Schizosaccharomyces pombe: one gene and its partner. The gene in region 1 interacts genetically with each later gene. Each region holds a gene or a part of one and is shown in the gene's direction. Other genes may lie near its edges. The genes, in order: SPOM_SPAC27F1.05C and SPOM_SPBC15C4.06C.

Region 1 (3,933 bases):
TTCATATTCCAGCTGCCATGGCCTATGGCTCTAAACGTCTTCCAGGTATCCCAGCCAATTCAGATTTGGTTTTTGACGTAAAGCTTTTAGCGGTTAATTAATTTTGTGTAGTTTGGTTCATAAAAAAATTATGGTTTAGTTGGGTCTGGAAATTACGGAATAGCAAATTTTTTGAATATTATTCGAATTATTTTGAGGTAAAGTAAGCACTCTAGTAGAAATATGTATGTTACTGAGACAACTAATTGGTCGCAGTAAGGTGAGGATCTTGAGCACTCTTTTAAACTGATGATAGAATTAGATGTGTGAGCAATAATGGGCATCAGAATAAATAAAACACTTTTTTTATTAGTCGTTGTCTTGAAACATGAGTGAGGGAAAGCACAATCGCTACTAGTTATCTACGGATATTTGGTGGAGCCACTAGAAAATTTTGTATTTGTGAATTTATTATATGAAGAAGGCTACTAAATACTCTTATTCCCTCAATTTTTTAATTGAGATTTCATAATTGGTTTTCGCGATATCTCTCATGTATTTTATCTACTGCAAGTTGATTTAGAATAAAAAAAGAAATTATACATAGTAGGATGCAATTAACTGGATCGATCTACCCATGGTTTACTGCGTATGCTTTATTGAAATCCACGCTGATGGAACTCATCAATTCGTTTATACCGTACAAATCTCAAACTGGAAAGGCACCAAAGTGTCTGGTTCCTTATTGGCTTTCAATTCGTCTAAGTTTACTTTACTTTAAATTGACAGAGGCGATATCATTTACCGAGAAGTGCGAAAAATATAATATTAGCTTATTTGATTCAACTTTTGTATTTGGCTATATCGTTAACTGCTTTTTTATTATTCATTTAAACACGTTCCTTACATCACAGTGAATCAATAGATGCTTTGTTCTATACCGAACGTCTTTATTTTTATAAGTCACTATGAATTCTTTCTCCGATTTTATAATCACTTTCCAAGTTATGTATTTACTGCATTTCCTGGGCTTTTTGCATCAACATTGTAAACTGGATCGGACTATTCAATACCAACAAATACGATAGATCACTGTGTTGGCTTTGCGACACATCTTTATTTCCTCTTTCATTTTCGGCTACACCAAGTTCGGCCAACATTCACTCCGCGGTATCTTTAGATTACAAAGCTGAGCCGAATACGGGGATCTCAAAGTATATCAAGATCTACGAGATGCGCAGTGTGTAGAGAGTTACAGATTATAGCAGGAATGAAATTTCAATTTCTATCTCTAGGAAATTTAAGGCTCGGCGGTATTATCGCGACGGTCAAAAGAACTGATCGTTATATGAATATGAGATGATTTAATACATTTTATTAATTTTGAATTTATTAGATAAACTGATTCAGACAGAAAGCTGTCATTTATATCTTATTGTGACCTTTATAATTTATAATTTATTTATTTATTTTTGCTTTACAATTTATTATCCTAAAGACTGTATACGACAAGTGACAAATATTATTTTCATTTTTATCGTTTTAATATATCTATATTTATTTTATATTTAAAATTAAATATCCAGACACAGCTGAATGCCCTTTTTTAAACATTTTCCAATTAATTCATAAATAAATAAAAATTATTAAAAAAAAAACATGTAACCTTTATTACATAGATATCCACAATCAACACCAGTTTTATTTCAATAAATTAAATCACATAGTTTGATTCAATCTAATCTTTTTAATTAATTATTATTATTATTATTTTTTTTTTGCTTACTTTATCCTATGTAAAATAGTTCTGCGCAATCATTTGTTTCTGCTCCAACATTATTATTAGCGCCAAAGCTTTTTTGAACTAAATACACTTCATTGCATGATATTTTTTCTTGAATTCTTATAATTGAGACCAATTCTGTAATGATCAAATATTAGAGTATATCTTCTTCTCGGTTCTGCCCGTCGGCCAACTCGAAGGCTGTAGTACGCTAATTGCTATCTGGGCAGTACGACTTTGATCGGGGGATGTGAGAGAGGTAATAGCCATTTTTCGGTCAAGTACATAGGAATATGGCATTGATGATTTTTACTATATATATAGGCTAAAGCTGCCTGTGAATGCCAACAATTGTAAAAGGTTAACATTCATTCGACCTTTTCTTCAATCTAAGGAGTGGATTATACAAGGTAACCATATACTGTAAAGATTCATTTGGAAATTACATTTAAGAAGCTTTGAGTTAAGAACTATCTTTCCTGCTCGTTTATTTACGTTAAATTTACGCACTTATCATGATTGATTCCACGTCCACTGCTACTGCTACCTCAAAGACGGTTGAACTTAACACAAATGGTTCAAAAACCGATGCCTCCTCCGAAAATGGAACAGCCAGCAATTATCCTGAGGGTTTGTGGTGCTTCGACGAAGCCATGAAAATGGACCCAGAAACGACTGTCAAGTTACAACTCGACCACTTAAACAAGTTACGCACTGTCCATGGCCACGCTCGCAATTTTGTGAAAGCTGATAATTCTCGTTTTGTTGATGAAAAGGGTACTGAGCATCTGGACTTAATTGGAGGCGTTGGAGTCGTAACGGTCGGTAACAACAATCAGTATGTTTGGGATTGCTTACAGAAATGCTTTGATGCCAAGTTATATATGATGGGTGCCATTTCCTATCGTAACCTTGCAGCTGCCTTTGGTCGCAATATGGCTTTGCTATCTCCTGGTCAAAAACTTACTCGCACATGGACTGCAACCGGTGGTGCTGAAGCTAATGAGGGAGTTATTAAATTGATTCGCCTTGCTACCCGTTATAAGCCTAACAAGAAAAAGTTTCTTTCTACTTTGAACTCTTTCCATGGTAAAACCACTGGTGCCGTCTTTTTAGGCGGCAAAGAAAAATGGCAAAAATATCAAAGTCCTGCTCCTTTCGACGTTGACTACGTCCCTTACGGTGATGCGGAAGCACTTCAAGTTGCCTTATCCTCTGGTATGTACCGTTCATTCATTGTTGAGCCTATTCAAGGCGAAGGTGGTGTTATTGTCCCTCCTCCAGGTTATCTTGCAAAGGCTCGTGAACTTTGCACTAAGTACGATACATATCTCGTTTTAGACGAAATTCAAACCGGTTGTGGTCGTACCGGTAAATTCTGGGCCTGTGAATACGAAAACATCATTCCGGATTGTATCGCTTTCGCCAAAGGATTTTCAGGCGGACTCATTCCATTTGCAGGGTATATCGCTACAGAGGAGCTTTGGAATGCTGCTTACAATTCCCTTGAAACGGCTTTTCTGCACACTGCCACTTATCAAGAAAACACTCTTGGACTTGCCGCCGGTGTTGCTACCATCGATTATATCGTGCAAAACGACCTTCTTTCTAGATGCCGCAAGTTAGGTGGTATCATGTTTGATCGTCTTAATAAACTTCAAACAAAATTCCCTCATGTTATGAAGGATGTTCGTGGTCGAGGAATGATAGTTGGTATTGAATTTTATCCCATTCCTGAGTCAGTTCAAGAAGAATTCGGCGAATACTATGCAACTCCTATTGTCAATGACCTTGCCGATACATATCACGTCCAAGTCTACTGTTCACTCAATAATCCTTCAGTTTTCCGCTTCCTTCCTCCTTTAACTATTCCAGAAGCCGACTTAGACGAAGGTTTGTCAGCCGTTGAATCTGCTGTTGCAAAGTTTGATGCTAAGGTTAAGGAAGCTGTTGCAGCCAAGTCAACCTAAAACTTTGGTTTCATCTATCATTAGCCCTTTCAGGCTTTTAGTAAAGTTGGGTCATCAGGCATAAATGTTAATTTTTTTATCTTCTTATCTAGTTTCAGCTTTTATATGCTCCTTATATTGTTTCTTGCTTACATGCAACGTTTGAGATAAACCATCGATTGTAAAATTATATAAACTATATAGAACTATTTTAAATCAAAT
Region 2 (3,933 bases), on another chromosome or scaffold:
TTTTAGAATATTGATAGGCGTCTTGAGCAACATCAGAAATAAATTTTTGAGCTGTAAGACCAAGAAGCTTTTTTAAGCGTGGGTCAACACATTTAAATCCAGATAAACTGAGGTAATAATCCAATAACACATCTGGAATTAAGGGAGAGTAATCATCCATTTGGGCCAAGAAATTTTCAAGTGTTTTGTCTTTGGCCATATCTCGCAATTCTAAATGCGGTTCTATAACATAATTCGAGCCATGCCTTTCTCTAGAATCATCGCTTTTGGGAGAATCCTCGTTATTTAAATGTGCAGGGGATTCTACACTCATTGGGGCGAGATTGTCACCAGTTGGCAGATTTGTGGAAGACGTTTCGGGTTGTTCATCAACACTCATCGAATTATTTCCATCTTCTGGTTCTTGCTTGGGCTGTTCAATATTTTCAGCTGGCTCATTATTGTTAATGTCACTCATTCTTTCTTTATTTGACCGATGTTGTAAAGCAAAGAATGTCTTTCTGCAACTTGATTCAAATCCGTGGTTCCTTGATTTATCGTTCGACTTATTGGAAATAATAGGAAATTTATTTCCCTAGCTTATGGACTTAACTTTTAATACTTTAATCCAGTGTTTCAAGAAACCACTAGGCCAACTAAAATAGGGATGGTGGAGGTGGACTATATTCTGTATTCGTGGTAAAGTAGCATTGTTATTTACGTATATAAGGGCTAAGATCGAAAAGTAAATAATTCCAATTCTTGGAATAATGCTAGTTGAATAATAGAAATTAATATATAAGATTAATTAACTTCTGGTAAAAAGTGTTGTTTAAAATCGGTATTATATAGAGTTCGGAGCGAAGTTGGTATCTACTACAATTTTTGCTTCTATAAGCAAATGTTCAGTTTAGAGTTGAATGGCAGCCTTCTTGGACTTGAACATATGTATTCAAAAGTAATTATTATTCTCAAACTACAATGTTATTCATTTGCTGAGATGAGCATTTTAAAGTTTGCGCAAACATGACTTCCAGTTAATATGTGTTTAAAACAAATAAAAAAATTTACTACGCAAAGAAAGGATATTTGAGATTAATTTGGTGCACATTTTTTATTTCTCATAACAAACTACATAATCCATTTCCCCATACTTTACCAATAATGTATTGCTAAGCCAGATCAAAGCTACATTAGATATCACTACTAATTATTGTTATTTTCATTTCAAAACTGTCGGATCCATACTACTGATCTTTAATGATCAGGACGAGTAAAACATCTTTAGGAAAATACAATTATTGAAGAAATATCTCAACCGAACAAACTACCCTTTCCTAGTTCAGTTGTAAGTTAATACAGTAAAATATAAAATTATATAGTATATTATATCTTAGCCTTCTTAAACAAATATGTAACCGCTGTACTAAACGAACTCCATAAAATTATACTAAATTACGAGGTAGCATATCACAATAATTATATCCTTATACTAGTTTACAAAGTATACTCAAACAACATTAAATCCTATAACGTATTCCTAGTAAATTGCTTCTTATGTTTAAGGAGGATATCTTATTGTTTAATTGATCGCTAAGCGATCCTTTTTTTATTTATTTATTATAGTTCTCTCTGATCATTAATTCTCCAGCTATGCTTACCTTTTTGAAGTATCACTTCTTCGTTTTTTTATTTCTTATAATTACCATTTATTATTATTTAGTTTCTCACACCTGTTTAAAGCGCTTGTCGAATCACCAAACACAAATAAGCTGTTTTATTTCACGATTGTTTTTCTCGCCCTGCACTTTATGCTTTGTTTGTTTCATAGTTTTTCCTTCATTAAAAAACTTCTTCACTGAAGTATACTGCTCATAGTGAAAATATAATAACAATTGCTTTCCACATGTATATCACATGTATTGTGTACTATGTACGCAATATGTCTCAAGATGTTCATTACTTAGCCACCACCAATTTGTGGTTTTCAAGCTTGAGCTAGTATAAGTTAAAAGAATCACACTTTTTACTTTCTAATTTTTTGAAATTTCCTTTAAAAAATTTCATTAATTGTGTTCCACAATTCCTGCTTTAGAGATATCACCACTCAACGTCTGTTTATTGATTGAAAGCTTACCTTTCAATTACCATTAAATTTGATTCATTATTTAGAAAGATTGGTATCAAAGCAGGTTTGTTTTTTGGTAATCTTGAAACCTCCTGTTTCCTAGTTCTTTGTGTTTCTTCGTGCCTTAAAGTTTGTTTAGGTTCTTATGCATCTGTGTAATAACCAGTTGCTTGATCATCTGGATTGCAATGCAGTTTACAGAGGCTATGTTTCACAAGAGAATAAGGTAAAGAGGAGAAAGCGGCTGTTTAATGCAATTCGTAAACTATGGAATGAAAGAAGGCGATATCGAATGCCAAAGGACGAAAGTATCTCGCCAACTCCAATCTCTTATTCATTTAGATCATTAAGAAGAGGCCATACTAGTGGGCATGCTAGTGAACACACTTCTTCTTCAAGATCTAGTCATGATGAATCAGATTCTATGTCCAGTTCTAGTGAATCAGACTCGGATTCTGTTTCCAGTGAATCAAATCCCAAATCTTATTCAGATTCTAGTACTAGTTCTGCAAGGTCGTCCTCTACTTCTGGTTCAATCTCCTTGTATGATGATTATTACCCTGCTTATTCCAGCAATGCTCCAAATACTGCAATATCTAATTATGTTAGCTCTGGTCTTTCATATTACGGAAATTCATCTATTATTATGAATGCTGTCGAATACAATCAGTTCTTTCCGCTAACCATAACTACTCTTATTGTTAAAAACAACAAGAATGTTGTTTCAAATCTTCCAAAAAATGTCTCATTTTACTTCCACTCTGACAACACGGTCCTTTTGAATGAGTATTACAAAAGCTTGTCTAAACTGAAGAATAATTTTCGTGGAATTATATATAAAACTACTCCTTATGGTAGCTGCAATGACACCGAGTCACTTCAAGTTGATACCAAGGGAAGCGTATGGTTTAGAGATGTTTCTAATATGGGAAGTTCTGGCTTAATCGCATTCGCGCCGTTTGACTATTGTGCTCCAATGCATGTATTGCAGGCTGTCCAGGATAGAGCAAAGGCAATACTATTTTATAATGCAAGCACTGCTAGTAATTCATTAACCAATTTTGACCACTTTGAAGATGCTGTAGATATGATTACCTTTGAAACATTACCAATGGCACTCATATCTTACGAAAACGGCATCGCTTTTGAAAAGATTCTCAACGAATACTCGGCTTCTTCTTTAAATTCGGTGCAGGATGGTGGAGCATTAGTCGAATATTTTGGAAACATTGATGCTACGGCCCGTTTGGGCGTTATCATCAGCAAGGAACCAAAGCTACTTGGCCTCTATATATTCATTGGTGTGTTATTGGGTTTAATCGGTGTCATAGGCCTTTTTATTTGCCTTCACTTTTCTGGTGCAATGAATGGATTTTATAGACTCTTAAATCGTCATGGAATTCCTGTTCAAGAAAGAATTGTGAATATTGGACCAAACAAACCAGAAAATCGTGTTACTAAAGAAATGCTCGATACTTTGCCCGTTAGAATGTTTTCGGGGCCTCATCTTGCCAATCCTAATGATGAGTTGGTTTATGAAAAGGATTGGAAATTAGACAAATCAGAAAGTTTTGATGGACAGGGAAATGTGGTTACTACAGCCGAAAGAGGGAGTAAGTATTTCGATCAGAGGGAGTGTACTATTTGCTTGTGTGAGTATTCAGAAGAAAGTCCTCTTTATCGAGAACTGCCATGCCATCACATCTTTCATCCGGCTTGCATTGATCCTTATTTATTAAAAAATTCGGATCTTTGTCCCCTATGTAAACAGTCAGTTACAAACATGTTGGAAAATGCTTCCGAGGACAATGTTTAAACTGCATATT

What was found.
Region 2: mutations in SPOM_SPAC27F1.05C (region 1) and SPOM_SPBC15C4.06C together harm fitness less than expected from each alone (positive genetic interaction), as found in Schizosaccharomyces pombe (one large-scale study listed by BioGRID).

What each region holds. Positions count from the first base shown.
Region 1 is NC_003424.3:4,323,451-4,327,383, reverse strand, and holds the start of SPOM_SPAC27F1.05C (aminotransferase), read left to right. Parts: upstream 1-2,108; 5' UTR 2,109-2,277; coding exon 2,278-3,732; 3' UTR 3,733-3,933. Other genes in the region: ani2 (FKBP-type peptidyl-prolyl cis-trans isomerase), read left to right, coding at 1-101; SPOM_SPAC27F1.10 (uncharacterized protein), read left to right, coding at 591-896.
Region 2 is NC_003423.3:2,251,726-2,255,658, reverse strand, and holds the start of SPOM_SPBC15C4.06C (ubiquitin-protein ligase E3), read left to right. Parts: upstream 1-1,948; 5' UTR 1,949-2,252; coding exon 2,253-3,923; 3' UTR 3,924-3,933. Other genes in the region: SAGA complex/transcription factor TFIID complex subunit Taf10, read right to left, coding at 1-457.